Drosophila melanogaster: one gene and its partner. The gene in region 1 interacts genetically with each later gene. Each region holds a gene or a part of one and is shown on either strand. Other genes may lie near its edges.

Region 1 (3,758 bases):
GGACTCAGCCATGTCGGTGGGGCACTCACCCGATTGTGCAGCTTTCATAACACTTGCATCGAAGGCGCTGCCGAAATACAGAGCCATAATGGGACCGTTCCAATGGCCAGTCTGGGTCGCTCTGATTTGCGTTTACCTCGGTGGAATATTTCCGATAGTTTTTACCGACCGTTTGACACTTAGCCATTTAATGGGTAATTGGGGTGAGGTAGAAAACATGTTCTGGTATGTATTTGGCATGTTCACAAACGCTTTCTCCTTCACCGGAAAATACTCGTGGAGCAACACGCGGAAAAATTCCACACGCCTTCTAATTGGAGCATATTGGCTCTTTACAATTATCATTACATCTTGCTACACAGGTTCCATCATAGCATTCGTAACGTTGCCAGCTTTTCCGGACACCGTTGACTCTGTGTTGGATCTGCTGGGATTGTTCTTTCGCGTTGGAACCCTGAGTAAGAAAAGGTTAGGCTCGCTACATTTGTATATAATATTTGGGCTTCTTACTTAAAGACAATGGTGGCTGGGAGACCTGGTTCCAGAACTCGACCCATATACCGACGTCTAGATTGTACAAGAAAATGGAGTTTGTCGGGTCCGTAGATGAGGGCATTGGCAACGTTACCCAGAGCTTCTTTTGGAACTATGCCTTTCTTGGCTCAAAGGCTCAGCTCGAATACCTGGTGCAGTCAAATTTTTCAGATGAGTAAGATCGATCCTTTATTTTTAATCTTCCCACCGTAAACGATATCCTCTTTTAGAAATATTTCCCGCCGATCGGCGCTTCATTTGAGTGAAGAGTGTTTTGCTCTTTTCCAAATAGGATTTCTGTTTCCCCGAGAGTCAGTGTATAAAATCAAAATCGACTCGATGATATTACTTGCCCAGCAAAGTGGTCTTATTGCAAAAATCAATAACGAGGTAAGCTGGGTCATGCAGCGATCATCTTCAGGACGCCTGCTCCAGGCAAGTTCTTCGAATTCCTTACGCGAAATAATTCAGGAAGAGCGCCAATTGACTACAGCGGACACAGAAGGAATGTTCCTGCTCATGGCACTGGGCTACTTTCTAGGAGCCACAGCCCTGGTATCCGAGATCGTCGGTGGGATTACCAACAAGTGCCGCCAAATAATCAAGCGCTCCCGCAAGTCGGCCGCCTCCTCTTGGTCGTCGGCGTCAAGTGGGTCAATGCTTCGCACTAATGCCGAGCAACTTTCCCATGATAAGCGAAAGGCCAATAGACGCGAGGCTGCTGAGGTTGCTCAAAAAATGAGTTTTGGAATGCGCGAGTTAAATCTTACCCGCGCAACGCTTCGGGAAATATACGGAAGCTACGGGGCACCTGAAACAGATCATGGTCAGCTAGACATCGTCCACACTGAGTTTCCAAACAGTTCTGCAAAATTAAATAATATTGAAGACGAAGAATCTCGGGAAGCTCTTGAATCTCTGCAGCGTTTAGACGAATTTATGGACCAGATGGATAACGACGGCAATCCTTCCTCACATACATTCCGTATTGACAATTAATCACAGAAATTTTTAAATGCAAATACAAAATAATCACTTTAGTGCACATGAAATTATATGTATTGAAATAAAAAGTTTGATGCAACAACAAATTTTACAGTTGTTTGGTATTTTGTATGGGAAAGTTTGTGGCAATATATGGTTTTACTTGAAAGCGGATTGGACATGGTCACACTGCCCACAAATCACAACATTGCGTTATAAATGAAGCACATCTAGTTTTGTGTTAAGAAAGTGGTTCACAATTTATATAGCAGGTTATGGTAAAACATCGATCGTTCCGAAAAATTCCGCTCGTTGGCACATTTTCTAAATTTTTCGTGCGACAGCGGTGATTATTATATGATATTATTATGATTATATATACAAAAATTATTATAATTATATAAAAGTTGGCGACCATATCAAAAAGGTTGCTATAAAAACAAATGGCAATTTATAGCGGAGTTTCACTCCCAAAGCGATGTTCTCCACCCATTCCAGTCAGTCATGGTAAATATACCTTCTAAAAAATATATGATTTTTTCGATAGAGATACACGGGCACACTAGACCCACCGATCGCGACTTTGTGTGTGTTAAAATGACGCGCATATCGTTTTGGGCTAATAATATTGTTCACGTTTTATAAAACAGATACACGGTTAAGCTCTGACCGGTCGTATTATTATCTGTGTGTTCTTGGTTGACACGTTTATTTCATTTATTCTCATTTAAAGCAACGATGTGAAGAACAGTGCGGGCGTTTCTCAACATAAGAATACATACAAACTTATGCGTGATGGTGAGCAAATAAAATAGTTCAAAAAATTACTCGGCCACCGCCTTAACCGTACAAACGGAAATACATAAAGGTAAAGGGCTCAACAACAGTATTACTGATTAGGCAATTGATTTATATTTCAAACTTCTTAAATAAAGTGTCCACAAATATGTATGTTCTTAGCATAGAGGCGTAGTCGGTGAGTCAGCCACGCCAACAGTTAACAGTCGTCATTTTGCTGTCTGTCTAACACGCAATTTGTGTGTGTATATGTGAATAAACAGATACCGGTATGCAATCGCAAAGCTGGTCAACTGTAAAGATCGGTATGTACTCAAAATTAGGTCATCACCTTGTTATGCAGATACATTTGGGAAACAGTTGACTTACTTGGTATTGGTTATCAGCCGAAAAGCAAATGGTGATACGGTTTTGCACCTCAGCTTACTCACGGATACATACCTACGTACATAAATGTATGTATACGGTATACAGTCTTAGAAAAAATATTAGTACCGACCAGCTAGCGTTTGCCTAAAACGCTTTTACAAAAATAAACGTATATGTTTTAAGTTGTTTTTTGTCCTAATTAATACATTTATTATTATTTATTTATGAATTTTAGAGCTTTAATAGTAACTAAATTGTTTAAACAAACTTTAAAAAAGATTTACAAATAAAAAAATATTTCGTGTGCGTGACGGAATTGCTAGTTCATTAAAGGGAGGTACATATGTACATACATACACATTGCAAAGAGTACAGATCGCTCATCATTTCATTTTTCCTAATGTACATATACATATGTACAAACATGTTTATTAAACTGCCTACATGCAAATCTTTGAAGTTTTAAGAAAATAAGCACAACTAGTTTGGAAAATCTTGGGAGCCAAGATCTATCTGTCCACTGATTTTCCTATGACTTCAAGAATGTAAAACCCTTTTTGTTAAACAAATTTTGATTAAAGTATACCAGAATAATATTAAACGTATCGTCCGTATCTATAAAAGGTATTAATAGTATTACCTAAATTTAAATTCTCGGTTTTATTCATAAGAGTGAAAAAATATACAAGTTCCTTTTTAATTTTTTACTTATTGAAAATTTGATTAATTTTTATTATTATTTTCAGTTTAGAATAAATTCGGCCACAATTAATATACTTATTTATTCATCAAAACCAAACCACCACAAGAGCATAACCAATCATGTTAAAGTTTATCAGAGGAAAAGGGCAGCAGCCCAGTGCTGACAGACAACGCTACATCGTAAGGTAAAACAAACAATTTTCTCTTTCCGTTCTATTTTTTTTTTTTTAAGTATTTGTAGCCGATTGGTATATTTTGTGGGGTCATTTATTTTGATCTTGGGTGGTAAATACATTTTTATGGAAGTTAGAAGAAAGCTTATAATTTATGAGGAATAAATAAATACCTCCTTTTGAATCTTTTGTTATGTC
Region 2 (3,758 bases), on another chromosome or scaffold:
CGAATTTATATTTTGTAAACATATTTTATTTGCGTAATGATTAATACTTGACACAACAAAAAGTTACTAAAACTATCAAAACTTATGAAAAGTTTTTGTTCTAAGAAAGAGGATTCGATCGTCATAAGTCGCTATAAATTGAAAATATCTGTATATAATTAACATTGATAATACTATATATAATGATTGATAATAAAAAGAGGAAGGATTTAAAATTGGAATCAATTGGTGGCAATCAATTCGGGATTAGTAGATCAGGAACGAATGCGAAAATCGAAAACAATTGGGCACTTTAAAATGGCAATTAGCTTGGCCATTTGAAACGGGAAATGTTTTGCAAAACGAACGGTTAATGCAGGTGCAATTTACAGGGGGTAATCGCCTAATTACCGTTAGTCGTGCCTCACTGTATCTTCGTTTGTTTTGGGCTTCTAATTGGCAATTGGCAACTCGGGCTTTTTGGCCATGCTCGACTAACTAAGTGAGCCTCGTTTAACGGTCTTTTATTTATTTAGTTATTGCAGCTGCTTACTGAGTGCAAAAAAAATCCACTGAATATCAGTACCCTTTTCACACACACACACACGTACACATGGATTGAAAGGACCTGCAGCTTTTGTTGTTTCGACTTTTGCTTTATTTTATTGATTTTTAGCCAAGAATAAGAGGACAGGTTCAAAACACACAAACAAACACGCATACACCCGCACGCAGGAAAACACACCCCTGCTGGGTATGTGTATCCCTGAGCTACCAAAAAAAAGGAAAAAGGGAACAAAATATAATCAGACAATTGACTAGAAGACTTAAACAAACCTTTTTGGGTCGCAGCTTTCAAATTTGCGTGTATTCAATTTTTTTTTTTTTAGCAGTGATACTCCTTTAATTTACTGTTAGTAATGGCGCGCAAGTTTTTACCAACAACAACAACAATTCGACAACAACAGTGTTAGCCGCACGCCAAACACATTCACACACACAACACAAGCACGTTAAAAAAATGAGACCGCGCGAGTCGACCGCTATTCCCCACGAAATCCACGAACGTTATGTTTGCAGCCGTCGACGGTCGTTGAAATATGTCCGAAAAATCCCCACCGTTAAATGGGGAGCCTTATAAAATACCAAAAAGATACCAATCGTCAACCAATTCACCATAGACCCAAACCAACGTATGAAATTCAAACTGTATTTAAAAGTGTAAAAGGGATAGAAGCGGATAAGCAGGGCAACTGTTACTAACTTTAAGCTAGGCTTGTGAGTGGCCAAAGTTAATGAACAAATTAAGAGGACTAAATTCAAGGCGGTGCATTTAAAAATGTTACAAAATACTAAGAAAATACCAGTGGTATTGATAGCACCCTTGACTCAAACCATCAAATGTTTTGCTTGGCTATATGATTAAGAGGAAAGTTGGGGGAATGCCTCATTTGTACGTTTTATGAATAACGTAATACTAACTTACAACCAAAATACCTTTTAAGACTTAAAATAAAGTGTCACTTCTCATGTCTGAATCCCTCTGTGTAACAATCAATTTGAATTTCCGATATCCAATCATCGCTATAGCTTTGTATATAAATCTCGCGTAATTTTCATGCAAGTGTTTTAGAATATTTCAATTTGATCTGCAATTCGAAATTGACTGCAATAGTCAGCTAGTCATACGATACTTTTTATCGATATTACTCCACACCTAGATTCGCTGACAGTCCGCCTCTAATTTAATTTCGTTTGTGCACATTTTGTTTGAAAGACGCTTAAGATTATTGGGTTTTGTTTCATGTATTGTGCCCTTTGTGCTAAAAGGTAAGAATAACAAGATATATGTTTGTGATTCCGCCGATTCGTTGGGTCTTCCAGGTCTCGTGAGTTCGCGTCGCTGGTTGTTGATGTGCGTGTGCTGTTTTTTTTCCGTTTTTTTTTTGCGTTGTTGTGTTTGTGTGCGTGCGAGTGGAGGAGTGCAGCCGAAAACAACAACAAAACGGGACAGTAGAGTTCCTGGCATTTTGTGGTTGATGTTACCCTATTTTTACCGTTGCCTTCGCTTGCCATCAGCGGAACTTTACATTTTTTCACGGAGTTGTGAAGAAGTTGCCTGTTATTTGGTGTTGATGTCAAACCATTTTAACCGCTTACCTTGCAGTGCATCCGCCATTTTACGCAGAGATGTCGACCTATTTCGGGGTCTATATCCCGACCTCCAAAGCGGGCTGTTTTGAGGGATCGGTGTCGCAGTGCATCGGCTCCATAGCCGCGGTGAACATAAAGCCATCCAATCCGGCGTCTGGATCGGCATCAGTAGCATCGGGATCGCCATCCGGCTCGGCGGCATCCGTGCAAACGGGCAACGCAGACGATGGCAGTGCTGCCACCAAGTACGAGGATCCCGACTATCCACGTAAGTACGAACGAGATGAAGCGAGTGTCGGTATATGTGTGTGTTTTGCGTTCCAGTTATTTGCCGCTTGTTGCTATTGTGATACCCTGTAATCGGGGGTCATGCGCGAACGTTCGGTCGATTCGTTGATGGGTATTCGTGTGCTTTTGTTTTTAAACAATTGTGTCGTATGGAGCAAGTGGGAGGTTTTATGATTCATACACATACTTTTAAAACCAAATTTAAAAGTCGAGGGTTGAAGTTTCCAAGCAACAGGAATGTTCATGATCGGAATTGCATAGGTTTTGTTTTGAAACTAAACCTGAATTGCTTGACGAATTTCTGCAATAATGTTTGTTTTATAAGGGGTTGAAATTTTATTCCCATTTATGCAGAATATACCTGATCGAAATTTGTTCAGCATATGGATAACTCGTTCTTTCAAGTCGTTATTTTAATGAACCTAATAGTGCATATTACACATTTTTGGTAAATTAAGTGCTTAAATATTATTATATATGAAATGTATTAACTGGGATAAATTACATATAGGGTAATTCAACTGTTGCATTTTTATAAGTTTCGTTTTGCGCTGTTGTTCCTCCATGACTAACAGCCCATGAAGAAGTTTACATGTGTGTGTTCAAAACTTCTGAGATTCGAGAAAAAAGTCGGAATCGGGGCTTGCCCAGCTGTCCCGCTCGCACAGTCGATTTCCTTGTCTGGGAGCGGTCTTTCGATTTAATTGTAAACAAATGGTGAACGATGGCGATTACCTGTCTAATTAAATGCAACTCTCCTGCTCTCAGTCGTTCGCTCTTTAATCCAATTATATGCGATTCGAAAACAAAAAACCGATTGGGGCGAGTTCATTCCACTTCCACATCGACATCATCCAGTTCCCATTCCAGGCAATGCCCAAATTGGATGCATTACGAGGACCTTGACCTGTCAGCACCCACATTCTGCCATATTTATGTTCCAGCAGTCACACAGCTGCGGTCAAAATAATAGGTCCTTATATATATTTTTTTTTAACAAGAATAATTATGGGTTACTTAACAATTATCTTAATATTCTAAAATTCGGGGCAATATCACATAAGTAGTAAATATTTATATATTTATATTATTATTTCTTATGTACCTATTAAATTGCGATTTTTAGAAAGATCCCGAAACAGCAGTTGATAATAAAAACTATAAATTAGGTCGCAACTGTATATCACACAGAATTTCTCCAATTTGCTTCCTTTTCAAATTTATTTATACTGCGAGCTGCAGAACAACAAGTATCCCGAAAAAGTGTGTGCGTGTACTGTCAAGAATCCCCGGATCCTATATTTACATATATATATATGTTCATACGCCCAATTTTG

What was found.
Region 2: of l(2)gl (region 1) and Ankle2, changing one suppresses a phenotype caused by changing the other (phenotypic suppression), as found in Drosophila melanogaster (one study listed by BioGRID).

Annotation. Positions count from the first base shown.
Region 1 is NT_033779.5:19,694-23,451, reverse strand, and holds the start of l(2)gl (lethal (2) giant larvae), read left to right. Parts: upstream 1-2,075; 5' UTR 2,076-2,386; intron 2,387-2,478; 5' UTR 2,479-2,621; intron 2,622-3,431; exon of another isoform or gene 3,432-3,436; 5' UTR 3,437-3,507; coding exon of another isoform or gene 3,508-3,567; 5' UTR 3,568-3,572; intron 3,573-3,758. Other genes in the region: Ir21a (ionotropic receptor 21a), read left to right, coding at 1-458, 517-709, 765-1,533. UniProt on the Drosophila melanogaster protein: Essential for the development of polarized epithelia, for cell polarity associated with asymmetric cell division of neuroblasts during development, and for oocyte polarity formation.
Region 2 is NC_004354.4:17,577,156-17,580,913, reverse strand, and holds the start of Ankle2 (Ankle2), read left to right. Parts: upstream 1-1,684; 5' UTR 1,685-1,809; exon of another isoform or gene 1,810-2,146; 5' UTR 2,147-2,169; coding exon 2,170-2,401; intron 2,402-3,758. UniProt on the Drosophila melanogaster protein: Involved in brain development probably by regulating asymmetric division of neuroblasts. Regulates neuroblast asymmetric cell division by controlling asymmetric protein localization of Mira, Baz, Par-6 and aPKC, and spindle alignment.